Linked DNA regions of Macaca fascicularis. The main gene of each other region encodes a partner of the protein of the gene in region 4 in a complex. Links are inferred from orthologs where the notes say so. Each region holds a gene or a part of one and is shown on either strand. Other genes may lie near its edges.

Region 1 (4,291 bases), on a different chromosome or scaffold from region 4:
CTCGATCTCCTGACCTCGTGATTCTCCCATCTCGGCCTCCCAAAGTGCTGGGATTACAGGCGTGAGCCACCGCGCCCGGCCACACCTAGGCTTTTTTAACAGCTTGCCCAGATGTGGAGAAGAGGGAGTGCTGCTTAAAAGCTGTCAGCAGCCAAATATCAGCAGCAAAAAATGGAGTCAGATTTCTTATTTAAAAAGATGTTGGAAGTGGTATCGGGACAGTGTAGGGCCAAAGTATCTCACTGATCTCTTTTCATGGGTTTGTATGGTACCTTTGCTCTCACTTATCTCTTGTGCAACAGCTGATTCCCACTGACTTTCTCATGGTATCCTACTCCCAGGCATAGACATGCGTATGCACACATACTTGTTTCTGTCCTTATGGATAGTGGAAACAAGAACCAGAACCAGGGTGAGTTTTTGGTCAGAGCTGTACCATGGCTCCTAGGAGAGTTTAATGCTTTAGGTTTCAACCAAAGGAGACAGAGATCTGGCAGAAGACCCTGAAGCCTAGAAGCAACTACCCCCACTCCTCCTACCACCACCACCTAGGCAGGTGTGAGGCAAGGATCCAGGCAGCTGCTGTTAGACTCTACAGCTGTTGGATGGTTTTGGCATTCCTAAACCTTACTACTGCTTGCAAACTTGGAAGAACTGATTTTAAAAACCCACTCCATTTGCCTCTGGGCAGTTCTTACTCACAAAGGGTGGATCTTCTTGGCCCCACAATTGTCTGTGGGTTGCACCATTTAACAGCTGAGAAAATGGCCCTCAAGAAGTTGTGACTTGCCCAAGGTGGCAGGGCAGGGCTAGGACTAGTACCCACCCTTTCTCACTGCTCATCCAGTGCCCTTAATTCCCCAAGGGCTAATGGGACAGAACCCTGTTAAATGGTATCCAGTATTTGGTTGGTTGGTTGGTTGGGTTTGTTTGAGACAGAGTCTTGCTCTTGCCCAGGATGGAGTGCAGTGGCTCGATCTCGGCTCACTGCAACATCCACCTCCCAGATTCAAGTGATTCTCCGGCCTCAGCCTCCCGAGTAGCTGGGATTACAGGTGCCCACCACCAAACCCAGCTAAGTTTTGTATTTTTACAAACATTTGTATTTGTATTTGGTGACTATGAGTTGGAGGAATATTTGATGAATTAATGGAAGATGAATTAATCATCAAGGTCAGTAAGTGATGAACCACAGCTTGGTCCAGCTCTTTAGTCCTCTAGTCTCCTGGTGAGACTCCACAGCTCCGCTAATACGACCGGGCCTTCGTGGGGCTGACAACAGCCCTGACAAGCCACCGGCTAGAGAGGCGTCAGCCCGAGGCTGGGATGCTCCGCCCGAATGGCGGCTGGCGGCGGGCTGGGCCCAGGGAGCTGCGCGCGCAACCACTCGGGCGGTGGCCCCGGTGACCGCTCTCCCTGGCAACGGTTTGTTGCTAGCAACCAGCCTGCGGTCTGGAGGTGGTGCGGAGGGAGCCGCCTAGGTGCCGGGGACTCCTGCCATGAATCCGCCGGGGTCCCTAGCGGGCCTGGACCCGAACCTGGACGAGCACTTGTCCACCCAGATTCTCGCGCCCTCGGTCCACTCCGACAACCCTCAGGAGCGCATCCAGGCCCGGCGCCTCCGCATCGCGGCGCGCCTAGAAGCCCGGAGGCGGTGAGCGCTGGGCGGGCGGGGCGGGATCGCGCAGCAGGGGCCGGAGCAGGGCTGGTTTCCTGATGAAATAGAAACATTTCTTCCGGAAGGTTCATGCAGAGTATGGGAAAGTAAAACGCTGGGCCGGTGCCGCGACGCGCGCCTGTCATCCCAGCATTCAGGGAGGCCGAGGCGGGAGGCTCACTTGAGCCCAGGAGTTCGAGATGATCAGTCTGGGCAGCATAGAGAGACCGCATCTCTATAAAACACCAAAATATTAATCGGGCCTGGTGGCCCGCGACTGTGGTCTGCACATGGCATCTTTTCCACTACGTACACCCCCAAACCGTAGGGTCTGCTGGATCATGTGGCCCAAGTAGCCTGGCTGCTTACACTGTGGCCTGGGTCCTTTCCTGTTCCAGGCACCACTCAAAGCTGGCAGCTTTTTGTGTCAGCCTGAATAGTATTCCTAATGCGGGATGTACTAGGACCCAAAGTGGTCTAAGAGGCATTGAGTTTCCTTCTCTGTAGAGGATGCAAAACGCAGTAGATTTGTTTTTTACTTGATAGGCTATCCCAGTGTGCCACTGACCACTGGACCCCTACAAACTTGAATGACATGCAGTCCCTGGGCCTTCATAGGGTTGATTGCCAACGTCTGGAGCACACATGTCTTACCAAGCCCTGCAGTGTGTTTCCATCACTCGCTCATCCTGGCTGATTGCTGCAGGGCCATCAGTGGAATGCAGGGGCTGGCAAACCCTTTCAGTAAAGGGCCAGATAGTAAATATTTTAGGCTTTTGGGATCATATGGCATCTTTCCTAGCTGCTCAACTGCCATTGTAGTGCAAAAGCAGCCACAGGCAAGACATAAACAAATGGGCATGACTGTGTTCCAATAAAGCTTTATTTATGGACACTGAAATTTGAATTTCATATACTGTTCATGTATCACAAAATAGCCTTCTTTTGATTAAAAATAATAATAAACTTTATTTTTTAGAGCAGTTTTTAGGATCACAGCAAAATTGGTCAAAAGGTACAGCATTCCCATATACTCCCTGCCACCACACGTGCACAGCCACTGTCAACATCCTGCACTGGAAGGCACATTTGTAACAATATATGAACCTTGGCGCATCGTTATCACTTGAACTCCATCGTTTACCTTAGGGTTTCTTTTTGGTGTTGTATAGCCTATGGGTTTGAATAAATTTATAGTGACATGAGCCCACCAATATGGTATTACACCAAATATTTTCACTGCCCTAAAAATCCCCTGTGCTCTACTTATTCATCCTAGTCTTTTTAAACCATTCATTTATATATTTTTTAACCATTTAAAATTGTAAAAAATTGTAGCTTGTGCCTGTAATCCCAGCACTTTGGGAGGCCAAGGCAGGAGGATCACCTAAGGTCAGGAGATCAAGGCCAGCCTGGCCAACATGGTGAAACCCCGTCTGTACTAAAAATACAAAAATTAGTTGGGTGTGGTGGCAGGCACCTGTAATCTCAGTTACTTGGGAGCCTGAGGCAGGAGAATTGCTCGAACCTGGGAGGTGGAGGTTGCAGTGAACTGAGATAGTGCCACTGCACTCCAGCCTGGGTGACAAGTGCAAAACTCCGTCTCAAAAAAAAAAAAAAAAAAAAAAAAGGGCCAGGCGCAGTGGCTCATACCTGTAATCCCAACACTTCGGGAGGCTGAGGCGGGCGGGATCATGAGGTCAGGAGTTTGAGACCAGCCTGACCAACATGGCGAAACCCTGTCGCTATTAAAAATACAAAAATTAGCCAGGGATGGTGGCGTACACCTGTAATCCCAGCTACTCAGGAGACTGAGGCAGGAGAATCGCTTGAACCCAAGAGGCAGAGGTTGCAGTGAGCTGAGATCGTGCCATTGTACTCCAGCCTGGGCAACAGAGCGAGACTCTATCTCAAAAAAAAAAAAAAATTGTCAGAATCATTATTTGCCTGGAAGCCATAAAAAAGCACGTGGTGGACTGGATCTGGCCCACAGGCCATAGTTTGCCAGTGCTGAAGTAATGGATCATTGTGATGTTCTCTGGGATATCCAGATGTCCCTGATGTATTCAGAATATATTATGACAGAGATCAGGAGAATTACCATGGTCCTGTGAGTGTGACAGACTTGTGAGTGTATATCATTGTCTGTTCCATGTAAATGTGAACTTCCTGATTCTTTTTCCTGATGTAGAAAAGCATGCATTTGACCCAATCAGTAGCCACACATACTGTGCCTGAGGCTGTACAAATTTGCTCTAGCGAAGCTTACCACACTTGCGTAGATGCTGTGTTCAGGAGTGCTACCTGTGCAGCTTCCGGTAGTTGACAGTCGTTTTCTAGGATCCAGTTTCTGCAGGTGCCAGATCCATGAATTAAAAGGAGATTCAATAGGGATCACCACTCCTGCATCGTTGAGATACTTCAGGGTGACACTAATGCCCACCAACCGCCCTGGGCGGCAATGTTGTTTTCTGTGTACTCAGGTGCAGTTTCAGAGATGTACTTTTGGCCTTCCCCACTATGACAGGTCTATTTGTAGGCCAAGGAGTGGAGTTTTTCAAACTTCTAAGTATGTCAGTCCCAATTCTACTTTTGGCCATTAGAGACATGATGACTGGCTGAGTCCAGAGACCT
Region 2 (4,070 bases), on a different chromosome or scaffold from region 4:
CAAGTTGTACAGCACCTGCCTCAAGCCTGAGCTAAAGCTGAAAATTGACACCTCAAAGCAGGTGGAAGCCAAGAGATGGAGGAAAGCCCTCCTTCCCTACTAGAATGAGTCCACCTCAGACAGCCAGATGTTGGACCTCTGCCTCTGTTCCTAGATCTCTGTTGCTAGATGAAGGAAAGGGCCCCAGGGGACCCATGTTCAAATCAAGGGCTCCCTGGGTACCAAGTTCTGTGTAGTAAAAATTCTAGCAGCGTGGGCCTGCCTGACATCATTTTCTGCACAGTTTCTCATTCTAATTAAGGCATAGATTTGCTGGTGAGGCACTGGTGAGGGCTTGAACAGACCCAATCCCTGGTGCCTGGCCCCTCGCTGCTTGCAAAGCTTTGCCTCAGCATCCTGGCCACTGGAGCAGTAGCCACTGTTCAGCAGTGCTCACCACAGGCCCTGGTCCAAGTTCCTCCGCGGGCGCCAAGATGAGTTGTGGCACCCCGATTTATTGATGAGTTAACAGAGCTTCGAGATGTACATCCAGGGTAACCAACTAGTAGTCCTCGGCAGAGCCGAAATCAAAGCTACCCTTTGAAACCTCCACCACCCTGGCTGCCTCTCCCTTCCTGAAGGCCACTTTCTTTTTTTATTAGCCGTCCCTCTGAAGTCTGTCCCTCTCACCCTCCAGGAGATCAGGGGCCCCAACCACATCTTGTGGCGCCAGGGCTGGAAGGGTGTTTGGCACAGGACATGGGCTGTGTGAAAGAGCACTCTGTTGGCCTGGAACCTTCCTGCGTCTGGTGCCAGATTTTCAGCCGGGGAAAAGGTGGACGGTGCCCTCCCGCAGGGCCTAAGGTCAACAGGAGACCTCAGGGGAGTTCAGTGACTTACACAGGTGCCCTGGAGAAGGTCCGTCCACCCTCATCTTCCACAGACGCTTTTCCTGGACCAGCTCCCTATCCATGGCCACACAAAAGCTAGCAATAGAGCACAAGGACTCCAGACCAGCAGCCTGCCCGACCTCCACCTCCCGCAGAAAGCCCACCCGTTCCTAGACACGTCCCACGGAAGCACAGGGCATAGCTCAAGACCACGGTCCCACTACCCCCAAAGCGGCCGCTTCCACGGAACCGTCCGAAGGGCTGGCCTCGCCACCCTGCGCGCGAGTGAGCCGCTTGCCGGCGCGCAGCTGCAGCCAAGGAAGCAGCAGCGCCCCCTCCTCTGAACCGCGGCGCACTGGTCCTCCCGGCCCGGCCCGCTCCTAGCAACACGGGGCGTCCCCAACGACAATGACCGGCGCCGGCGCGCGGGACTCTGTGTGAGGCGAGCGCCGAGGCTCCCGAAGCGGGTGAGGCGACCTCGGGGGAGTGGGGACACACAGCCCCGGTCTCCCTTATCGGGGCCCGCTCAGGTCAGCTGGGCCCGGGAGCCCCTCTAGCGTCCTCTGCCCACACCGGCCAGAAGCCCACAGGCGGCCATTGCCTGGGTTCCGTTTTCTGTGGCGGGGAAGCGCCGGTCCGTACCCACAGGAGACCCCACGCCCTCCATGCGAGGACGCCCCGCGCCTCCTCCCCACCACAGTCACTGTCTGCAGACCGTCTGGCCCAGGGCTGGGTATCCGAGTGAGGCGAGCGGAGGAACTATGGGAAGAAGAGGGGGAAAATGGGGCATCCGTAGGGCGTGGAGGAGAGCGGTCCCAAGCCCTGGGGCCCCAGCCTTCTGCGAAAGGCCGTCCCTGTTCCCAGCACCCGAGGGCTGTAATCCCTCCCGCGTGTCCAGAAGCTTGCTTCCGCATCTCCCTCCCTCCCACTGCACTGCCGGTTTTCCTGGGTTACCAAGGAGAAACCAGCGCCTCTACACCCCAGGTAGGATGGGGGAGGGACCCCGTGGCCTTTGCAGCTGAGCTTCCTTGCTAGGGTGTCTGAGCTGAAGGTAAGGAGGGGTGGGAGCAGAACCGCTGGAGTCCCTTTTGAGACAACAGACCTGAGTGGTCAGGAGTTGGGAGGAGGCCAGCCCGGGGGCTGTGGTAAGTGAACTGGCGGTTTCACCCAGCCCAAGTCCAAGTACGCGGGCCGAGGCCCGGTTGGAGAAAGTTTTTTGCCCTTCCATAAATGGAATTCCCAACTTGGGAGTGACTTACCCCAAAGTAAGACATGGTGGGCATGAAAGAAATGGAGGTGGGTGTAGACAAAAGCCGAGAGTCCTGAGGACAGACGAGGGCTCTCCTGAGGGGATCTGGGATGGGAGTGGCTAAGAAGGCAGTCAGAGCAGTGGGTGCAGAGCCAGCTCCTGGGGAAGTGTCCCAGGCACAGAGGTGCTGTCTGCCCAAAGAGAACTGGGTGTCTCCACTTCTCGGCTAAGAGGAAGGGAGGTAAGGACAGTTGAGGACCAGGACTGTGATGCACAAGAAGGTGAGAATGCTCCCCTACAGCATCTTCCTCGTGTTCCCATTAGGGCAGGTGGAAGGAGCTCCTGCCCAGAATGGTTAGATTTAGCTGGGGACCTGAGGAAGGATAGAGAAGACCGGAGACTTCCTGTGGAGGGAATGTGCCAGGGGCAGGAGAGCACTACTCTGCAGCACTCCGTTGGGCTCCTCTGGCCCTCCAAAGGATGCAGGCAGTGGTCCAGCTTGCAGAAGGCTTCTGTGCCCAGCAGTGAACTGGAAGAGGGAGCCTGGACTATTTAGGTCAGCACCAAGGGGATAACCCTGGGCTCCGTGTTGGTGAACAAGAGAGCTCATGAGCTGGAGAAAGTGGGAGACTCACTGGAAAAGTGCTGTGAATGACTGAGTTGGGAGCAATTTATAAGCAACCCCAGCATCTCATGGAAGTAAGAGCATTAGACAGACACAAACTAAAACCTCAGCTTCTCCACTTACTAGCTAGTGACATTTAGTAAGTTACTTAAGCTTTCTAAGTTTCAGTTTCTTCATTTGTGAAACAGGGACAATAGTGTTAAATAATAATCCTCAATAATTAATTTCAGAATTTAATGAAATTATGTAAGTAAGCCATCTAGCATCTTCACTATATCTAACACACATCTTGAGTGCTGGCTCTGGGCCCAGCACTATATGAAATGTCTCACACACATTAACACCTTAATCTTCTGGGTAATCCTATGAAATAGGTACTATTAAGTACTGTCCTCACATTATAGATGAAGAAACTGAGGCAAGCGGGGACCTGCCCAAGGTTGCACAGATAGTGGGGGGCACTGTGGAGATTTGACTTGAGGCAGCAGCTCAACTCCTGAGTACTTAGCCAGCTGCTGTCCTGCCTCCTGCTATGTACATGCCATTGAAGGCCTAGAGCTCTCAATAAATCATAGCTATATATAGCCAAGGGTATCGTTCCCAGAACACCTGTCCACCAGATTCAAGCCATCAGAAATGAGGACAACTCTGGCCAAACTGGAGCATCTTGTCACTTTCTATTACACGTGCTTGGGCATGGAAAGAGCAGTCCTTCACACCCGGTCCTTTGAGTTAATGGCCTGGTATGGATGTTGTTCCCTGTGTGTGATTTCAGGACCCTGGACCCTGGTCCTGAGGATGCACAGTAGGGGCCCAGGGGAGGAGGATTGTCCCTTCCCTAGGGACTGTGGTACCAGGTTAGAGACACAGCCATGTGAAGCCAAACTAGCTGGTAAAGGCAGGCCCCAGAGAAGTGAAAGTCCACTGCATGTGTCCCCACTTTCCCCCTCTGAGAGCACAGCACATCCTTGGATGGGGACACCAGGTGGTGGCACAAGACATACCCACTCCTGGTGGCCCTGACCTCTCTGGAATGTCAGGATTCCTGCCCTGCCCATGTTCAAGACTGGCGTCTTGAACATGCTCCTAGTCTTCAAACTCTGGGATTCTCTGACTGACCCAACAGGTTCCCCAGGGAAGGAAAGCTCCAGAGAGGAAGGTGACCCTTCAGCCACCTCCAGGACTGCCCTGATGAAAATATTAAATTTTGTTTCATTTAGGGGGAAAATGCATTTACCCTAACAGGGATGAAAACTGTACATTAGGGCCCTGAAATTCCCATAGTAAAGTACCAAAGGCCTGGGCGCGCTCTCAGCCCAGGGAGGCC
Region 3 (4,003 bases), on a different chromosome or scaffold from region 4:
TAGATTAAGTAACTAGGAGAGAAGATAGCCATGTAAACACCTAGCTAAAACACAGGCTTTTCAAGAGCTACAAAATCAAACATTTAAAGATCAGGAAACTGATGCTGAGCAAAGTCAAATGGCTTGCCTCAGTTTACATATCCACAGTTGGGACTCAAACTCAAATGTCTTGTCTCTAACCTGAGCACTTTCCTGCACACTTGCATCCCTCTAGGTCAGTACCCTAGAGTCCATGGGTCTGCTGTTCCTTTGTGTCTCATTTCTCTGAAGTGGGAAACGCCCTCGACTACCTATTCCTGTACTTATTACCCTCATTCCACAGTGTACTGAAGAGGATCTTCAGTGGTTTGGGGTTTTTGTTTGTTTGTTTGTTTGTTTGTTTGAGACAGGGTCTCCCTCTGTCATCCAGGCTGGAGTGCAGTGGTGCAATCATAGCTCACTGCTGCCTCAACCTCCCAGGCTCAAGTGGTTCTCCTGCTTCAGCCTCCCGAGTAGCTGAGACTAACAGGTGTGCACCACCCTGCCAGGCTAATTTTTTAATTTTTTGTAGAAATGAGGTCTCACTGTGTTGTCCAGGCTGGTCTTGAACTCCTGGCCTCAAGTAATCCTCCTGCCTCAGCTTCTGAAAATGTTGGGATTATAGGCATGAGCCACCGCCCCCAGCTTAGATCTTCAGTTTTAAACCTACTAATGTCATTTTGCTGATGGGACCTCGGGATGTCAATTGTCCAACATGGCTACTGTCAGTCCTTTTCCTCTGTATCAGCACAACATATTATCTCAGATGTGTACATCTGAATTTGGAAGTCTCCAAATTGCAGGCCATGTCTACGTGGCAATGAATCATAACCAATCGGCCTCCAAAGCCCTTTCTTTTCAAACTATACTTAGGGTTTTGGGATAAGGAAAGAACTGACCCTTTGAGACCTTGATATTTTAAGCTTTGTGAGCTGATTTAGCCCATTCCACCTTCCTACCAACTCCATGTTTCCCAGTTGCCTGGACAACATACAGCCTCCCGAAACCCAACCTTCCAGCCCTCAGTCCTGCCCTCAAGAGAAATTTGCCACCAAGGATTGGCTCCCAGGACCCAGGCCCCGCCTCAGGCTCCTCGCTAGTTGGGCCTTCTCTCTGCCACTCCCCACGGGTGGGTCACTCCACAGGGAGCCCCAACACTGGCAGGAGAGGATCCTACAGGTAGGAAGAGGGGGTTGAGGATGATGGGAAGAGGGAGGGGAGCAGGTACAGGGATTTATCTAAAAGAGAGTTGTGAGGAGTGACTTCCGTACAGTCAGCCTGGTTGAGAGAAAAAACTTCACCCTCCCCGTTGACCCCAACCCTGCCTGAGGTTCCAAAGAGACTGTGAACTGACTTTTCTGAAGAGTATGAGATGCAAATTTGGAGTAGAACCAGGAGACTCCCCTGAGACTCCTGATTCAGTCAGGAAAGCATCCCTGTGTCCAGACCTAAACATAAGGTCCCCTCCTTCTCCCAGGACAGCAAGGAGATGCCACTTAAAAACAAAGAAAAAGGGAAGAAATCTGGGGCGCAGAAGAAAAAGAACTGGGGTGAGTCATGGTGGGTGGAGGTGCCCCCTGCTTCTCCATGTTCTGGCATGAAGACCACGCAGAGCTCCTCCAGAGAGAATTCAGCCTTCTACATGACAGGATGGAACTCTCTTGACCTTCCTCTTTCGTGTCCTTGAAGTCAGATGCAGGGAGCTGAGGAAGTGGGGAAATGGTCACTCACGCTGTCCTTTAAGCACCATCTAGCTTTGTGCCTTCCTAATATATTTGTCATGTGTATTTTGCATATCTGTTATGTGCTGGTTGGTAAGGACACAGTGCTGACTTCAGTAGACTCTGCCACCATGGATCCCTCATTTAGTGGTCCTCAGGTCTCCTGTGGCAAAAGTGCAGGGTGTGGGGCGAGGACGCAAGGAGAGTGAGGAATGCTGAGATCACGAAGAGCTGAGGCTCTGCCACTTGCCACAGCAGGTGCAGATGTGGAGGCTGAGTCCAGGCACAGGCTGGTGGTGCTGGAGAAGGAGCTGCTCCGAGACCACTTGGGTAAGGAGGGTAGAAGTTGGCATGGGGGTGGGCAACAGGGCAAGTGAAATGGGGCATTTCTGTATCCTGGGGGATTGGAGAGTTGGAGATACAGTGGGGGGCTAAGTTGAACCCTAACCATCCCCTAGTGGAAAAAGACAATGAGAGAGGGGTGGGCAGTGAGAGTTGATAAAGGAAGCTTTTTTTTTTTTTAGACAGAATCTTGCTCTATTGCCCAGGCTGGACTGCAGTGGTGTGATCATAGCTCACTGTAATCTCAAACTCCTGGACCCCAACAATCTTCCCACCTCAGCTTCACGAGTAGCTGGTGCACACCACCCTACCTAGCTACTTTATTTATTTATTTATTTATTTTTCTTTTTTAAAATTTATTTTATTTTATTATTTCATTTTATTTTATTTTACTATCTTTTTTTTTAAGACAGAGTCCTGTGCTCTGTTGCCCAGGCTGGAGTGCAGTGGCGCGATCTTGGCTCACTGCAACCTCTGCCTCCCAGGCTCAAGTGATTCCCCTGCCTCGGCCTCCCAAGTAGCTGGGATTACAGGCACACAGCCACCACACCCGGCTAATTTTTGTATTCTTATTAGAGACAGGTTTTCACCATGTTGGCCAAGCTGGTCTCGAACTCTTGACCTCATGATCCTCCCACCTTGGCCTCCCAAAGTGCTGGGATTACAGGCATGAGCCACTGCGCCTGGCCCTATTTATTTTTCTTATAGAGACAAGGTCTCACTCTGTTGCCCAGGCAGGTCTCAAACTCCTGGCCTCAAGCAATTCTCCCACCTAAGCCCCCCAAAATATTGGGATTACAGGCATGAGCCACCATGCCGGGCTATCCGGAAAGCTATTTTGTATAGGCAGAACATGGAGAGAGTCTTTACTTCTTAATAATGAGGAGCCTGTGAGACTCTAGGGATAAAAAACAAAAACAACAAAACCCAGAGAGAGAATAAGAGGCTGGACGCCCCGCCACCAGATTTCTAGAGACGGGCAAAATTCATCAAGTTCATGGGGGCTGATTTAGCGGGCCCCAGCCAGTCCTGACAGTGGCTCTGGGACTGCTCACAGCTGTACGGAGGGATGAAGCCCGTCGAGCCAAGGCTTCCGAAGACCAGCTGAAGCAGAGGCTGCAAAGGGTGGAGGCTGAGCTGGAAGGGGCCCGAAGTGAAGGGAAGGCCATATATGCAGGTGTGTGGTCTGTTGAGCAGGTGGGCAGGAGACAGGGGCCTGGAGGAAGACAACCAGCAGGGTCAGATGATGCAAGGAAGGGAAACAAGGAGGGCTTCCAACTGCCAGGCCTGGTCTTGGTCTTCCCCGAACAGTACAAATCAGGCAGGATCCTGCAGGAATCAAAGGCAGGTAGGTTCCTGGGATCCCAGGCAGGGGCCTGCCAGGATGCCTGGTGCCATGTGCTTGATGCTGTGTAGGATACACATGCAGTCATAGCCATCACCTCAACCATCCTATGGGAGGGGAGAAGGACTAGCATCCCCATCCAAAGCTGGACGGTGGGGGAGGTGGGTTGGGCTTCCTTTCCCTTCCTCAGGTTTTCATGGTCTCTAGCTTCTCAGAATCACAAAAAGAACCAAGAAGACCATGGGCCGGGAGTGGTGGCTCACACCTGTAATCCCAGCACTTTGGGAGGCCGAGGCGGGCGGATCACGAGGTCAGGAGATCGAGACCATCCTGGCTAACATGGTGAAACTCCGTCTCTACTAAAAATGCAAAAAATTAGCCGGGTGTGGTGGCAGGTGCCTGTAGTCCCAGCTACTCGGGAGACTGAGGCAGGAGAAGGGGGTGAACCCGGGAGGCGGAGCTTGCAGTGAGCCAAGATCGCACCACTGCACTCCAGCCTGGGCGACAGAGCGAGACCCCGTCTCAAAAAAAAAAAAAAGAAAAAGAAAAAGAAGAACCAAGAAGGCCTTTGTGCTCC
Region 4 (4,229 bases):
GAGACATCTTTGTCACAACTTGGGAGTGAGGGGATTGCTGGTGGGTGGAGTCGGGGGATTATGTGGCTCAAAATGTCAATTGAGCTGCTGTTGAAAAATCCTATCTTAGCTAATATCCCCACTTTACGAATGAGGAAATTGAATCTTGGAGTGGTTAACTTGCCTCTTATAAGTTTCAACCCAGGTAGTCTGAATCAGGGAACCTTCCTGCTTAACCATGACCCTATATACACCTACGACTAGAACCAGTACCCTGATTTGAATTCAAACACGTCATTTGTCCAGCGAGACAAAAATGAGGTCCAGAGAGGGGAAGAGACTTGCCCAAGGTCACACAGTGCAGGAGCGGGGCTAGAACCCGGGACTCCTGAGTCCTGGTCCAGTGTTCCCTCCGCGGGCTTTGCTTCTGCCTCTACAGAGGACCCAAATGGCCAGCCCTGGGGAAAGGGCCTAGGGGAAGAGGGCCAGCTGCCATGCCGCTGTCCGCTCGGGCAGCCTGACCCGGGCACGAGACTCCTGCGGGGTCACCTGAGGGCGCCAGGGAGAAGAGCGAGGGAGGGAGCAAGAAGGAGGCAGGAGCGCTGGCTCCAGCTCCGCGTGCTCCCAGCCCCTGGCTGGGCGCCCACGTGAGGGTCGCCCCAAGAAGTCGGGGGCAAGGAGAGAGGGTGCAAAGCCCCGGCCCGGGCTGGACGGAGAGAAGCGCGGCGGAGACTTCCCCGCGCCCTCTCTGGGCCCATTCAGCCCACCTCCCACACCAGAGTGTCGCGCCGCAACCCCTTACTCCGCGCCCTCTGACCCTGATCCCTGCCCTCTCCCTCTGGCCAAGTCCTCGCATCCCTCGGATTCTTACACGCGCCGCCCCAGCAACCCGGACCGCGCGCCGGGGTCCGTACCACGCAGCCCAGCCCGCCGGCGCCGCCGCCAAAACCCCGAGCCCGAAGCTGTTGCAGCCGCCGCAGCCGCCGCCACTTCAGCCACCGCCACCAGGGTAGCTGCGCCAGCTCTCCCATCCGCCGCCTACCGTCCTCTCAACCCCGCTCGCCCCGCCCCATTTCCCCTTCACAGCGTCCTACTGGCTAACTGGGCTACCATGATGAGCTCTGATTGGTCAATTCTCACGTCTTTCCGCAGGTCTCGCCCGCAGCCGAGGCAGTACTCCCTGCCCGCCTCCTTAAGAAGGGGCGGGACGAAGAATCCACGCCCCTTTCTCCTCCCATCTTCCCCGCCTTAATCGTTGAGTCCAACCCAGAGGGAGTCCCAAGTCTTTCCATTGGTGCAAGGTCAAAATGGCGGTGCTTCTGATTGGTCAGACTTCAGGAGGTGGGGACAATTGAGCGGAACAAGAAATTGAATGGTGAAAAGAAAGGTCAGTCAGACACAGAGTCCCGCCTTCTGAGATTGGCGGGTAACCTCGCAACGCTGGGACCGCGGCGGTAACTGTGGCTAGGGAAACCTGGAGCCGTCAGAGCGGGTGAGTAACCAGGTGGGAAAGGGTCGCGGATCGGGGGAGATGTGGAATGGGGTTCAGCCCGATGTCCTTTGGCTCCCTGAGAAATTGGTAGCCCCCGCTGCGATCCCGTCTCAGCTTCAGGACCCCGTCCCTCAGCCCCTGCCTCAGTCTGGACCTCTCGCTCCACAGCCTGCAGGGAGCCGGCCTCCATTCTTCCCCTTCTACCTGCCCACTTCATGGCCCCACTCCCTCATCCCTAAAACGACAAGGACACCAGTCAAGCAGAGTCACATCGTAGTTAACTTATTTCAAGTCAAACATGGGAGCTGTGGGTGGGAGGGGGGTTTATAAGTCCCCTCCCATTCCACCCAACGACCATACGTTCCTCGGTGAGCGGGCCATCTCACTTAAGTGTTTAAATTAGGTAGTTTTTGTTTGTTTTTGTTGTTGTTGTTGTTGTTGTTGTTTTTGCCTAGCGCGGTGACTCACGCCTGTAATCCCAGTACTTTGGGAGGCCAAGGCGGGCAGATCACTAAAGGTCAGGAGTTCTAGACCAGCCTGGCCAATATAGTGAAACCTCATCTCTACTGAAAATACAAAAATTAGCTGGGCATGGTGGTGCACCTGTAATCCCAGCTACTCGGGAGGCTAAGGCACGAGAATCACTTGAACCCGGGAGACCGAGGTTGCAGTAAACCAAGATCGCGCCATTGCACTCCATCCTCCGCAACAGAGCAGGACTCTGTCCCAAATAAATAAATAAATTAGGTAATTTTTATTATACCACTTTTGCCTTTGTCCTAACTTTGGAATTTATTTCCCATCTCCGTCCTTAAAATGTAATCTCTTTGTACCTACTAAAGATAGAGAGTTTCTTGTGATGATTAAATGAGGCTGAGGGGTGGGCACAGTGGCTCAATCTGCAATCCCAACAATTTGGGAGGCCGAGCGGCGGATCACCTGAGGCCAGGAGTTTGAGACCAGCCTGGCCAACATGGTGAAGCCCTGTCTCTACTAAAAATACAAAAATTAGCTGGGCATGGTGGTGCATGCCTGTGATCCCATCTACTCGGGAGGCTGAGGCAGGAGAATTTCTTGAACCCGGGTGGTGGAGGTTGCAGTGAGCCGAGATGGTGCCACTGCACTCCCGCGGGGGTGATAGAGCGAGGCTCCATCTCAATAAATAAATAAATAAATAAATAAATAAATAAATAAGGCTGAGGTGGAAGAATCGCTTGAACCCAAGAGGCGGAGGTTGTAGTGAGCCATGATTGCACTGCTGCACTCCAGCCTGGGCCACAGAGTGAAAAACCCTGTCTCAAAAAAATATATAAAAAAGAAAAACTTTGAGGTTCAAAAGATATTTTCGTAAGAAAATGAAAAGATCAGCCACAGACACAGACATGGAGGAAATATTTGCAAATCTCATGTGTCTTATAATAGACTTGTATGTAGAAAATAAAAATAACTCTTATAACTCAAGAGGACAACTCCATTTTTTTAATGGGCAAAAGAGTTAAGTAGACATTTAAAAATCAAAAAGACAATCCCAAATATCATCATGTAGATAAACAAACTAGCTTTCATATATTGCTGGTAGGTACAGCAGAATACCAATTGGTACCACCAATCTGAAATATAGTTGGCAGTTTCTTAAAAAGTTAAACATAGGCCAGGCACAGTGGCTCATGCCTGTAATCCCAGCACTGTGGGAGGCACAGGCAGGTGGATCACCTGAGGTCAGGAGTTCGAGACCAGCCTGGCCAACATAGCAAAACCCCGTCTCTACTAAAAATACAAAAATTAGCAGGGCATGCTGGCGGGCCCCTGTATTCCCAGCTACTTGGGAGGCTGAGGCAGGAGAATCACTTGAACCTAGGAGGCGGAGGTTGCAGTGAGCCGAGATCATGCCACTGCATTCCAGCCTGGGCAATAGAGTGAGACTCTGTCTCAAAAAAAAAAAAAAAAGCAAATGAGTATTTCATTATTTTGATCTGAGCTTTACGATTTTTCTTTTCTTTTTTTTTTGAGATGGAGTTTTGTGTTGTTGCCCAGGTTGGAGTGCAGTGGCACGAGAATTGCTTGAATCTGGAAGGTGGAGGTTGCAGTGAGCTGAGATCACGCCACTGTACTCCAGCCTGGGCAACAGAGCGAGACTCAGTCTCAAAAACAAAACAACTACAACAAAAAAATGTGAGTGGAAACAGAGATCGTTTGCAGATTAGCTCATGGGAATTTGGTGGAGTGATAGAAATGTTCTAAAACAGGATTGTATCTAAAACTGATGTGGCAACTTTAGATACATTTACAAAAATAGTCATTGAGTTTTATACTTACAATGGGTGAATTTTATGGTAATGTAAATTACACCTCAATAGAGCTGTAAAAAAAAAAATTACACGCGTGGTTAGTACCATGCAGGAAAGGTGAGAGAATTTCCACAGGTTGTAAAGTGCTGTGTGTTCCTGTCTGAGAAGGGGTAGCCATTGAGCTAAGACCTAAAGAATGAGAAATTGTTAATCCAGGGAGAAATTGTTCATGGGGGGTTGGTTTCTGACATAAAGTAACATTATACATTAGTGCCTGAGAGCAGGAGGGGTTTGAGATAGGCTGTTTTTTGTTTGTTTTGTTTTTGAGACAGAGCCCCTCTCTGTTGCCCAGGCTGGAATGCAGTGGTGCAATCTCAGCTCACTGCAACCTACGCCTCTTGGGTCCAAGCAATTCTCCTGCCTCAGCCTACCAGGTAGCTGGGATTACAGGTGCCCGCCATCATGTGCTG

The links. Proteins that work in one complex are often made in the same cells at the same time.
Region 1: DRC10 (region 4) and DRC1 share a complex: the UniProt entries of both Homo sapiens proteins name them as parts of the nexin-dynein regulatory complex. The link is inferred for Macaca fascicularis from reciprocal best matches to the Homo sapiens genes DRC10 and DRC1.
Region 2: DRC10 (region 4) and DRC5 share a complex: the UniProt entries of both Homo sapiens proteins name them as parts of the nexin-dynein regulatory complex. The link is inferred for Macaca fascicularis from reciprocal best matches to the Homo sapiens genes DRC10 and DRC5.
Region 3: DRC10 (region 4) and DRC12 share a complex: the UniProt entries of both Homo sapiens proteins name them as parts of the nexin-dynein regulatory complex. The link is inferred for Macaca fascicularis from reciprocal best matches to the Homo sapiens genes DRC10 and DRC12.

The regions. Positions count from the first base shown.
Region 1 is NC_088387.1:95,843,282-95,847,572, reverse strand, and holds the start of DRC1 (dynein regulatory complex protein 1), read left to right. Parts: upstream 1-1,442; 5' UTR 1,443-1,499; coding exon 1,500-1,654; intron 1,655-4,291. UniProt on the Homo sapiens protein: Component of the nexin-dynein regulatory complex (N-DRC) a key regulator of ciliary/flagellar motility which maintains the alignment and integrity of the distal axoneme and regulates microtubule sliding in motile axonemes.
Region 2 is NC_088378.1:127,221,006-127,225,075, forward strand, and holds the start of DRC5 (dynein regulatory complex subunit 5), read left to right. Parts: upstream 1-1,221; 5' UTR 1,222-1,336; exon of another isoform or gene 1,337-1,853; intron 1,854-2,711; exon of another isoform or gene 2,712-2,817; intron 2,818-4,070. UniProt on the Homo sapiens protein: Component of the nexin-dynein regulatory complex (N-DRC) a key regulator of ciliary/flagellar motility which maintains the alignment and integrity of the distal axoneme and regulates microtubule sliding in motile axonemes.
Region 3 is NC_088388.1:118,066,389-118,070,391, reverse strand, and holds the start of DRC12 (dynein regulatory complex protein 12), read left to right. Parts: upstream 1-1,154; 5' UTR 1,155-1,197; intron 1,198-1,495; 5' UTR 1,496-1,507; coding exon 1,508-1,568; intron 1,569-1,994; coding exon 1,995-2,069; intron 2,070-3,138; coding exon 3,139-3,258; intron 3,259-4,003. UniProt on the Homo sapiens protein: Component of the nexin-dynein regulatory complex (N-DRC), a key regulator of ciliary/flagellar motility which maintains the alignment and integrity of the distal axoneme and regulates microtubule sliding in motile axonemes.
Region 4 is NC_088385.1:120,145,344-120,149,572, reverse strand, and holds the start of DRC10 (dynein regulatory complex protein 10), read left to right. Parts: upstream 1-1,429; 5' UTR 1,430-1,471; intron 1,472-4,229. UniProt on the Homo sapiens protein: Component of the nexin-dynein regulatory complex (N-DRC), a key regulator of ciliary/flagellar motility which maintains the alignment and integrity of the distal axoneme and regulates microtubule sliding in motile axonemes.